3 linked regions of the Kluyveromyces lactis genome follow. The protein of the gene in region 1 interacts with the protein of each later gene in a biochemical or structural test. Links are inferred from orthologs where the notes say so. Each region holds a gene or a part of one and is shown in the gene's direction. Other genes may lie near its edges.

Region 1 (4,161 bases):
TGGGCTTTATTAAACCAGCAACAACACTCTATTTTAGTCTGCAATGGTCCAGGTTGTTAAATTAAGTGCATTATCCAAGAAACGTGCAGTCGATGAGGAATCTGATCTTGACATATCAAGTACAGACTCAAATATTTCAGACCAAGAAAACGGTCAAGAGGAACAAGAAATCATCAACATCGATTTTGATTTCTTCAATGGTAATCCCGACGTTGATTTCCATGCTTTGAAGAATCTGATGCGTCAGTTGTTTGGACCACAGGAATCGAACAGAATTCAACTAAGTGAATTGGCAAATTTAATCTTGGACTCACCAACTACTACCATCAAAACCGATGGTAAGGAGTCTGACCCATACTGTTTCCTATCATTTATCGATTACAAGGCCAACAAAGATAGTGATTATGCCAAATATCTTCGTAAAGTTGACCCCAAGCTAGCTACTTTCCTACAAACTATAGATCAATCGGAGAAGACTTGTTCGTTAGTCTTGAGTGAAAGATTGATTAATATGCCACCAGAAGTTGTGCCGCCATTGTACACTATCACATTAGAAGATGTGAAGCTTGCGCTTGGGGATGATAAAAACTATGATTTCTACCTAATCGTTTCAAGGAAGTACGAAGTGAATTTTGATATGGACGAAGACGATCTAACATCGAACCAAGCTGTCCGCAAGAAGGTAAGACAAACAAACGAAGTAGACTATTTCCATGAAGAAGATCGTTTCCTTGAAAAGCTAGCCAAAGTCCATGTGGATTCCGAGGCGAGAAAGGGTCTTATTACATCGTACATGGTTTTGGACCATGCTGGACTAATTAAATCCATCGAAGATCTAGATGCGGCCATCAAGACCTGGTGAGTGATGTAAATGTTCAGTAGTTACATTGAGGAAGGTGATGATGGTATGTGGATTAATCCCGTTCTGGGAACCCAACAATTAACGCACGTGACCTGATCTTTAGTTACCCTCCTTACATGATTTCGGCCTCCCAAAAGAAAAAAAAATCTTTCAAGGAACAAAAAAATTGCTGAACAACATGAAATACGTACTTATATAGTAGAAATCGAGAAAACAAGCCGTAATACGGTAACAGAACAGGACCGTGAGAACACTATTCGACTCAGTTTCAAAAGTACCTGACACAGAAAAGCCTTGTTTGGTTGGACGATCCTGTTGTTTGTACAGAAGCGTGCTGTTTCCGAGACAAGCCCTCGCTAAAAGAAAAATCAGAGGACCCAGTTTCCTTTTTTTTTTTTTGGATATTTTCCTATCACTTGCCATTCAGACCGAAAGTTATATTTTTTCAACGTGACAGATATTCACAGAACATCTAATAGAAAGTAAGGATTTCAAGGCGATGAGCAGTGCAAGCAAAGGGAATGCTACTGGAAGTAAGAGCCCAGAGCAGCTCTTAGAGGAGAGACGGCACTTGCTAGTACAATTGTACTGTATCTCACAAATTACCGAGTTAAAAAACGTGGAGAATCATGAGAGAATAGGGAAGGAGATAGAAAAGTTTTTAGATCAACATACCTTGATCAAGGACAAGCCTATAGATATTAATGCATTGCCTAAGTTTAGGCCGAGAGACGTGTCGTCAGATAGGAAGCTGAATAACAGGAGTAAGAGTTCTTCACCGTCAGAAGTGAAACGAGAATTGAAGAAACAGCGGTCGAAAGACGTGTCGCCAAGTGGAAGCGAGGAACATGATGTGGATACGCAGACACTCCCGCAGTCTCAAACAAGGGTAGTTCCACGAGTTCAGTCACAGCAGTCAATTCAGCAAAGTTCAAGGCAATCTATGGTGCAAGCGCAGTCATCTCGACAGCTGCAGCAGCAACAACTGCAAAAGCAGCGATCGGTGTCTCCCACACAGAAGCTGCCGATAACACATAATAATGTTCCTCCTGTGGTAGTTCAGGCACATATGGAACCGAAATCTGTCCAATATCCGGAGACCCAATCAAAGCCAAGTACTTCTGGAAAGCGTTTGTTAGATGAGGAACAACAAGATATTTCCGAAAATCAAATAAGTAAAAGGCAACGGCTTGATAGTGGAAACCTATCTAATTCTACCGCTGCACGTAACGCTGCAACAATGGAAATTCCGCCTCATCCTTATTCTCAGATGATAGACATCTCACAATTGCATGCTGACCCAACACCAATTGGGGTGAAAGAACCTCAACCCTATATTATAGAATCTATTATCAACAATGTATCAAAGGAAGAGCGTAAGACGTTTTTCGAAGATGACATAAATGTGAAAGAGGCGGTATACATGATTACGAAAGAGAACGCGCCAACCAAGTTGGCAAAGGGTATGCCCATTCAAGAAATCAAATACTTATCCCAGACTTTGCCCTTGCTGAGATTGATACCACAATCTCAAAAAGCATTGACGACTGATCTGATTAATACTGCATTGAATGAAAGACGAATCACTGTAGTAGCATCAAGGATAGAGGAATTGAGAAGGCTGAATCTCTGGTCACTTAGACAACCAAGAAAATTTATCGATCCCGTTACCGCTTCACAACCTGTAACTCATCATAATGTGTTGATTGAAGAAGCAAAATGGATGCGTGAAGACTTCCGTGAATCGTTGAATTATAAGATAGCCATGTGCACTCAAATGGCACAGGCAGTTATGGAATTTTGGACTTATGGTAAAGTATGCTGTATCAATTGTAAAAGTATTCCACCGCCATCAAAGGACATAGAAGATATTGCTTCCTCCCAAGATATGGGAACAAAAATCAGTACAGTTGAGCCAGAACAAAAAGATAAAGAATCAAACACAAGTCCTGATCAATCCAACGATGATGGGTCTTCTAAAATTGCTGAAGATGTGGAGATGTCAGAGGATGGTGTAAAATCAAGTACCGGTTTAACTGATGGGAGTGAAGCGGTGGAAGAGAAGTCTGAAAATGGTATCAAAGAGGGGGACAAGGAAACTGATAAAAACTCATCTGAAGAGCCTACCATAGACATACAAAAGTTACTAAAGAGAGTTAACCCCAAAGATGAAATCGTCGCTCCATCTCTTCCGGTTACCTCCATGGAAGTTTATTTAGCTAAGAAATCATCCTCTCCCTTCAGGAATTACATTGATATAAAGGAATTATCAACACTGGGAGCAGCCATTTCAAACTCACTCCCTTTGTATGGTCTTTTGGACGAAAAGAATCTCGATTCTAGCAGACCATTGCCCTTTGAACCGGTTTCAAAGGCAATTTCTCCTCTTGACGAGGACCATTTCATGAAATTAGTAGAAAAGCAATTTGTTGACGAAGAACCATCTCTAGTTCCTTTATCAAAACGACGTGGTATGTTTTATGGAAATAGACGTAGCCATTATCTTCGCCCTCCTAATGCGCCATCATTACGCTATTTGAAATTTCGTACACCCACCATCTGGTTACCTGAAGATGATCAGGAGCTTGTCAAAAATATAAACCAGTATGCCTATAACTGGGACCTCATTAGTTCTCAGATGTCCAATCATCACAAAAGAGAATATGTTTCAAACATCGAACGTAGAACCCCTTGGCAATGCTTTGAGCGGTTCGTTCAACTAAACGAAAAGTTCAACATTGCAGATATGAAGGGTCCAAAGGCTCATAATGCACAAATATGGTTGTACGAAGCTCATAAATTACAGCAGCAGCAAAAAAGGAGAATATCTCCCCTTGGTGTGGGATCGGAATCCATACAACGAGGACATAGGCGTTTACGCTGGGCAAGTATGTTTGAGGCAATGAGAAAGTGCATTAAAAAAAGAGAAAACGCACCCAGACCAAATCCTTCGCAGCCGCGTAAACCTTTTGATGTTAAGAATATGAGTGTTCCAACCCCTCAAGAAATGTCAGACTTAAAAGCTCAGCGTGATGAGGCCTTGAGAAGGGATATGCAAATAAAACGTGCTGCCAAACAAAGGATGCAGATGGCTCAATTGCAGCAAGGAAAGCTTCCTCTCACTACAGCATCAAGTCCGAATTTGCCTATGGCAAATAATCCTAACTCAAAGGATTCAAGAATTAGGTCTAAGCAGTCCACTCCCCAGAGTGCACCACCACTAGGTGAAAAAGAAAAGGTTACAACTCAAACTCCCACACAGAGAAATACGAAACCGGCTAATAAACGTGAAATCATTG
Region 2 (3,937 bases), on another chromosome or scaffold:
CCATTTGGTACGGGATTCTTTACCAAATGTGATGCAAAAAGTGATGGAAAAGGATATTTTTTCTACATGATGATCTGTGAATTTCACGCCACACTCTGAGCCTTGGTTGAAAAAACATGAATGCAAGGCGTACTTCTGGTTTTACAGGCTTTCGAAATGGAGATGAAGAAGAACAAAACAACGTAGTAGAGCTACTTTCAGCGCCTTTTCAAGGATAGAGTTAAATTCTTGAAGGAATTTGTAAGGTACAATGTAAAACAATCTATCACCTGGTTATCAGGGAAGCGCTACAAAATTGTCGAATCTTAATTAGAGCTGTACGGTGCTGGCCGAATGAACCCTTTTTTGAGAACCGTATGTAGATCTTTGTGAACTGTGAATTTATGCACACAGATTACGTCACACAGTCCAATCAATAGAAGCAGTTAATGGTTCCAGTAATAGCTAAAGGGGGGGTATTGCCTCATTTTTCGAGTTGGTAAGTAAAAACGATATTCGTTTAAGTTAGCCGCCTTGAATTTAATCGACGATTATGTTGTACTTGTTTTAATAAGATGTTGTCCGTGAAAAACACGAGTTATCGTGAGCGCTACTTACCCTTCGCCATTGTTCTATCTTTCGACACTCAAAAAATTATGCACATTGGCTGTCCGCTTATCTGCTAGAGTAACGTTCACATTTCGTGCGTATTTTTCTGTTGATGATGGCAAAGAATAAAACAAATACGTAATTTTCAATGAAAAATTAATAGCCGGGTAAGTTATTCGGATCATGCACGTGATCACTTCCTAAATAGGAATGTCATCACGTGATACAAAACTTTTCAAGGTCTACAGAGGTTTTTCAAATTGTTTTTCTTGGTACCAATTGTTTTCAAATTTCGATATGACATTGAAATCTGTACTCTCAACCAACAAAAGCGTAGTATTGATTTCAAACGAATACACGAACTTCAACCACCAAAGCAATTATAGCGCCTTATCACTAGACAACAGGTTCTATCAGCTAGCTTCGCATTTTTGTTCTTTTATTTCAACTTGCATCCTCCCTAATTCATTAATTTCAAAGGAAGACGCGGTCTGCAATTTGATTCTTTATTCAATATAGCTGAGCTGCAACGATTGTAACTTATAAGCAATGGAATCAACTGATACTCATGAGAGAATGGACACTTTTGTCGAAAGAATCAGGGATACTGAAGATGTTGCTGAAAGACATGCCATTATATCAGAACTTTACGATGTTTTGGATGTTGTAACTTCTTCAGTCGAATACGATGAGTTTTTGAAGAAGTTGTTGCCGCTCATTTTATCACAGTTGAATGATGATCAAATCTCAATGAATGCCTCATCTCCTGAACACAAGTTGAGAAATACATGTCTAGAACTTTTGAATAGATGTCCACTTAACGATAAAATGGAACCTATGGCCATGGAAGTGCTGCAATGCCTGTTAAAAATATTAACCTTAGAAAACGATGAAAATGGTGTCTTGTGTATGAAGATCCTCACTTCGTTGTTCAAATGCTATAAGCAGCCATTAGAAAGTGAAGTGAATACGTTCATTAAAATTATCGTTGGAATATATGAAAACGTACCGAACTTGGTGGCATCTACTTTCCTTGGTGAAGAAGAAACCAGCTCATCAACTGCAGATTCACAAGATTTTTCGAACTCTAATAATGAGGAGGATGCTTTCGAAAACTTGTCTGCACCGTCCAAGAAACATTTGGAAAAAGCTACAGAATCATTCAAGACTTTGTCTGAATGCCCAATTACAATGGTGACCTTATTTTCATCATATAAACATTTGATTTTAGTAGACTTACCGACTTTTTTACCACTCGTCATTGACTTACTCACTTTGGAAGTGAAACAACAGCAAAAATCCAGAGAAGAACTAGAAGCTAAAGGTGAAAAACTTATTGGGATGTCGTCAGAAATCAAAAACCGCTCTGCATTCTGTGATTATGTCCTAGCTCAAATCAAGGCAACTTCTTTCTTAGCGTATGTGTTTATTCGCGGTTATGCTACAGATATTTTGAAACTACACGTCAAGAAAGTCCCAGATTTGGTGATGAGATTATTACAGGACTGCCCAAGTGAATTATCATCTGCACGTAAAGAATTATTACATGCTACGAGACATATTCTCTCTACAAGTTATAAGAAATTGTTTCTACCCAAGATCAATTTGATGTTTGACCAAAAAGTCTTGATTGGTGATGGATTCACTTCATATGAAACCTTGAGACCATTAGCGTACAGTACCCTTGCAGATTTCATTCATAATATTCGGTCAGATTTGGCAATGGCTGACATAGAAAAAACTGTTAAAATGTACACCAGTTTTCTTTTGGATGAGTCTTTGGCTTTGACTGTGCAAATTATGAGTGCTAAGCTACTATTGAATTTAATAGAACGGATTTTAACTTTAGGTAAGAAAGACGCATATGAAGTTCCTAAGGCCAAAAAGCTACTAATGACGATTATAGAGGCTTATACTTCAAGATTCAAGCTATTAAATTCACAGCATAAGAAGATATTAAAACAACATAATGTCTACGAACAGAGTAAAAATAAGAAATCTAAGGAGATCCAAGATCAACTTGCGAAAGACAGGCACGATGTTGATGAATATATGGTTAACATCTTGAAATCAACAGACGAATTGTTACCGTCATCAGTTACTGTTGATACCAATGCCGACGTCGATGGTGATATTACTATGAGCGAAGAACCTGATATATCAGAGAAAGGTAACAGTTCGGTGCATAGTGATAATAACACATCACTGACTGTAAAGAATCAAGATAAAAATTCGGATATATCGTTCAAAGAAAACTCAGTTGAGATATTGGACTTCAATGATATACAAAATCATGCTCCAATAATTCTCTTCCAAGCGACGTCAAATGATCCTCTTAAGGACGCATTTTACTTATATCGTACTCTTCTTTCATTTCTGAAAACCATTATTCATGACTTGAAGGTTTTTAACCCACCCCCAGATGAATATACTACAATGAATCCGAAAATGTGGTCTGCATTATCAAGAGTATTTTCCTACGAAGAGGTGATCGTGTTGAAGAATTTGTTCCATGAATGTATAGCTGGTCTACATCTATTTTCTTCTAATCCAGAGGGCATTGATCCATCCACAGTAAAAGCACACTTCGATATAACTACACCTAGCTTACCTGTGTCAGCAACTAAAGATGGTCGAGAGTTGATGGATTATTTCGCTATTATTTTCATGCAAATCGACAGTCCTGTCTTCAATGAAATCGTTGAGAGTGAAATCGTCTTTATCTACGAATCTTTACTACGCGATTCAGCTTTGTTGCATGTTGCTCAATCATTCTTGACAAGTGAAATCACATCTCCCAATTTCACCGGTATTCTTCTAAAGTTCTTGAATTCCAAACTTCCAGAACTAGGGAATGTGGACAGTAACAAATCAAATATACTCATCAGACTATTCAAGCTATCATTCATGTCTGTCAATCTCTTCCCTATTACCAATGAGGCGGTCTTGTTACCTCACTTGAATAATTTGATTTTAGATTCTTTGAAGTATTCGACAGAGGCTGAAGAGCCTTTGGTGTATTTCTATTTGATAAGAACATTGTTCAGAAGTATTGGTGGCGGCAGATTTGAAAACTTGTATCGTTCAATAAAACCAATACTTCAAACTCTTCTACAGTCCCTCAATAAGATGATCCAGACAGCTTGTCGCCCTCACGAACGCGATTTGTATGTGGAGCTCTGTCTCACTGTGCCTGTGAGGCTTAGTGTATTGGCACCATATTTGAATTATCTAATGAAGCCATTAGTGTATGCCTTGGTTGGATTTCCAGAATTGATAACTCAAGGATTAAGGACTTTGGAGTTATGTATCGACAATCTAACTCCAGAGTATCTAGACCCGATTTTGG
Region 3 (4,142 bases), on another chromosome or scaffold:
CTCTGGTGAAAGACAATTTTGACGTTCCTGACTCAGTGACAATTGTTGTTCATCACTATGGACTTCATTACCTTTGCCCGAATGCACCTTATTGGCGGGCGTCATTGAAGCATGTATCACATTTCCGTCTTCGTCTAATTCTTCTCTGATCTCAAAGAAACCTTCCTGGTCATCATCATTGTTAGAAACATTCGTATCTCCCAAAGATTTTGCACCGTCTCGAAGTAACTCCATGTTTCGCAATGTGCCATGTGCCTCTTTCAGTTTCTCATCAAATTGTGAAATGGCTTCGGCAATTAAGTTCAATCGAACCTTTATAAAAACCAGGCATTCTTCCCTAGATTTCTCCAAATAGTAATCGTAACCTATATTTTGGAAAAACTTACCATTCTGAAATACTACCTCACCATACTGCCATTCTTCTTCCGAATCTTCGCTCGTGTCAGCATCTCTTATCCTATCGAATATCTGTTCATACAACGGCTGCTGTTCCTTTAAGAAGGTTCTTTTGTTTACCAAATTATCTATGGTACCTTTGACAGTATCCATTAACTCGGCAAAAGAAGCCCCACCTTCTGCTGTTTCCATTGCGTTTCACGACTAAGACTGATTTTCTCAGCCTCTTTACCTGCCTCAGATAACTCACTCTTTCAACAAGCGATGAGATGACTTCATTACGGATGTCAAGTTACTGATTTCCGTTTTTTTTTCTTTTTGGTAGAAGCTCATACAATTTTTGGCATCACCATTTACCTTGACCCAATGGAAGTCACGTGAACAGAAATTCCTATTGTCTACCAAGGTGGTTATGGGAGACGTTCATATTTCCGTAGAAGACGTAAAAAATTTTTTTTTCTTTCCATAAGTTCGGATTTCAATATAGAAAAAACCAATACCCCCATTCACCGGACAAACTGTTGCGTTCCACCCAAACAACCAACATAAAAAGGAAAACCACGCGCTTCAGAACAGTCCGGTGGCTCGTTCAAACCTACTGAGAATCAACCATCAGTAGTGATACTTAAGGACTTTCATCAGTTCTGCAAAATCCGTACCAATAGCTGCTATCTTCAGTCCTATTTTAGATTTGGTCTCCTTGTTTTCTGCCTCCTTCACCGCCACCCGATTGCTTGCCAGTGAAGTTTTTCGCAAAATTTGGCCCCGAAAACAGGAAGAAAATAAATTTGGGCCCCCGTAAAAGAACCAATTTTTTAGAGGGATAATTGTAGTTACCCTTCCTTTCATATTTCTCGCTATTGAAATCTGGAATTCAAAGATCCTTCTTTGGCTTCAGCCGCATAGCTATCAGGGTAACTACACACGGGCATTGACACATTGCAGTATGCCAGCTCCTGCAGTGGATTCATCGAGGTTCAGGCACAGAAAGATCAGCGTGAAGCAACGACTTCGGATCTATAAGAGCCATGAAATTAAGGATTTGGAACAAGAAGATGTTTCGGCCATCAGTTCCCAGCATCAACAGCGAGAGCTGATGGAGATTGAAACTGGTGTGGAGAAGAATGAAGAAAAGGAAGAGCATTTATACAAAATTCTTCAATCCAATCAGCTTCGAGAGAACAAGAAGGATCTATTTATTCCAACACCAGACGCCTCGAAAACTTGGGACGAGTTTGACAGATTTTACCAAGGTGAATTCAAATGTCCTACGAGTTATATCCAGTTTTCTGCACAATTAGAAGATTGCTGTGGTACTTTGTATAATATGGATGAAGAAGACGAAATCTTTTTGGCAGATTTAAATAAATCCCTGGCGGATTCGGTCGAACCTCTAACGGAAGATGAGTTTGAATTAATTATGGCCAACTTTGAGTCTTCCATCAAAGATAGGCAACCCTTCCTGTCCATGGATCCCGAGAGTATACTTTCATTTGCAGACCTAAAACCAACCATGTTGAAAAACGATGTTGGTGATTCTGGCGTAAAAAAGGAACTCGCGAAGGAAATTGGGATGCCTGAAGATGAACCATTCTTGACAATGTTTGACAATAAAAGACCTCTAGGTAAAAGGGAAAAAAATATGGAGACTCTTATCGAATTGTTCGGAGAGAAAATACACGATCATTGGAAGCAACGCAAGATATCACGTCATGGTTGCGATATCTTCCCACAATTGAAATCGGAGCGTAATAATGATAAAGACGATAATGATCCATATGTGTGTTTCCGTAGGAGAGAGCTTCGACAACCTAGGAAAACAAGGCGGATAGATGTTCAGAACTCACAAAAATTGCGACTTCTATGCCAACAATTGGAATATACTAAAGATTTGGCACTCACTGTAGCCAAAAGAGAAAGAGCAGTATTAGAAGTCCTAGAAAACGAAAAGTTCGTCTTCCAAGCGCGAGCCCAATTGAAGACAATGAAGAGAAAGTTAGGCATAGATGCCGATAACGAGGATTTGTACTCGGCAAAGAAACAAAAACTCGTGAGTTCGGTGCGTACAATCAAACAACAACAACAACTTCTTCTTCAAAAACAGCTACAGATACAACAGCAGCAACAACAGCAACTACAACAGCAGCAGGCAGCCATTACTTCAGATTCATCTGTTAAACGTGCAAAATCTTCAAAATCGTCGAAACTTCACAAAGAAGACAGTGGTCTATATGCTGATGAGAAAGGAAGCGAGCCAAAGAAGAAAGGCCCAAAAACTGGTTCAAATAAAAACAAAGAACAATCACTGTCATCTGCGCAGGAAATTGGAGCTCAGTCGCCTGTTGCCAATGTCTCGAATGTACAACAACAGCAAAAACAGGCATCTTCTCAAGTATATGTTAAATTGCCTAACTCTAAGATACCTGATATCGTGTTAGAAGATGTCGGTAAATTGTTGCATTCAAAGGAAAAAAGCACAAGGAAATTTGTTGAAGACAGGATGAGAAAAAGGAAACAGGAAGATGGTGACATCTTTTTCAACCTCACTGATGATCCTTACAATCCTGTTTTCAACCTTTCAATACCAGATAACGTCAGCCCCCAAGATGCTCCATTTTCTTCTGTTGCTGGCTCAAAGTTCGAAGTAAAAACATCCTACTATTCACCTAATCTTCAAAATTATATCACTGGCACTGCGAATGATATAAAGGTTTTTAACAAGGAAGGTGAAGCTGTGGAGAACAATGAGTATAAAAAGTTAGAATTTTTCAATCCATTTGATAACGAGATTCATACTCATTCTCGTGAATTTCCAATCGCTTTCAGACGCCGTCGCGGTCGTTTCAATATGGAATATATTGACCAAAGAAAAACTGATCACAATATTAACGACATGTTATTACAATTTATTGATTTGGATGGAATACAGAAGCAAGAACTCGATAATGATGTTATAAATGTGTATGATTCTAAACTGGATGATTTATCCAGGTCATATTATCACTGGAAATATGATTCCAATTACAACATTTACGGGTCCAAGTTTTCCGACGAACCGGCGAAGTTGAACCAAATTTCAAACGATACTCAGGTGGTAAGATTTGGAACCATGTTAGGATCCAAAGCATACGAGCAACTAAGAGATGCCACCATCAAATATAGACAGGAACAAATCAACAAAAGAAAGAAACTGAATTCCCTGCAACAACAGCAAATGCTACAAAAGGGTCAACAGCCCATTAACAATGCTCCTCATTCACAGTCCTCTTCCCCACCATCTCATCAGGACACTAGGAAGAATCCAGGATCAACTCCAAATCAGTCCAGTCCGCCAAAGAAACACGTTACTCCTAACGCTGCTGCATAACGAAATTGTAAACTTTTGATGACACCAAATCCCATTATAAATATGAACTTGTAATTAGTATTTTCCGCATTCTTATGCGAATCTGTAACAATATAGATAATTCATGTTATTAAGCATCGTGAGCTGCATTATACATCACGTGACTGAACTGACTTCAGCTTCTTTTTTTTTTGGTTTACGCATCTAAAATCGGCATCTTGCATCTAACATTATGTACCATTGCAAGCATTGATTGATGAACTATGCCCAGAATAGTGCATTCACTAGGAACACTAAATTTAGAATAATACCTAGGATACTGGTAGTGGTTTACCAAGCCAGTTGTTAAAATGGTCCAAATTGACTTACCGGCTGAGTCTGCTGTTCGCATCAGGTATCC

What was found.
Region 2: the proteins of EAF1 (region 1) and TRA1 are reported together in a solved structure, tested with the Saccharomyces cerevisiae proteins (2 studies listed by BioGRID, with this or other methods). The link is inferred for Kluyveromyces lactis from reciprocal best matches to the Saccharomyces cerevisiae genes EAF1 and TRA1.
Region 3: the proteins of EAF1 (region 1) and EPL1 are reported together in a solved structure, tested with the Saccharomyces cerevisiae proteins (2 studies listed by BioGRID, with this or other methods). The link is inferred for Kluyveromyces lactis from reciprocal best matches to the Saccharomyces cerevisiae genes EAF1 and EPL1.

What each region holds. Positions count from the first base shown.
Region 1 is NC_006041.1:1,912,888-1,917,048, forward strand, and holds the start of EAF1 (Eaf1p), read left to right. Parts: upstream 1-1,361; coding exon 1,362-4,161. Other genes in the region: protein-transporting protein BCP1, read left to right, coding at 44-862. UniProt on the Saccharomyces cerevisiae protein: Component of the NuA4 histone acetyltransferase complex which is involved in transcriptional activation of selected genes principally by acetylation of nucleosomal histone H4 and H2A. The NuA4 complex is also involved in DNA repair.
Region 2 is NC_006042.1:2,059,528-2,063,464, reverse strand, and holds the start of TRA1 (histone acetyltransferase TRA1), read left to right. Parts: upstream 1-1,137; coding exon 1,138-3,937. UniProt on the Saccharomyces cerevisiae protein: Essential scaffold subunit of the transcription coactivator SAGA complex. SAGA acts as a general cofactor required for essentially all RNA polymerase II transcription.
Region 3 is NC_006042.1:2,337,832-2,341,973, reverse strand, and holds EPL1 (Epl1p), read left to right. Parts: upstream 1-1,342; coding exon 1,343-3,763; downstream 3,764-4,142. Other genes in the region: BUD27 (prefoldin-like protein), read right to left, coding at 1-588; BST1 (Bst1p), read left to right, coding at 4,093-4,142.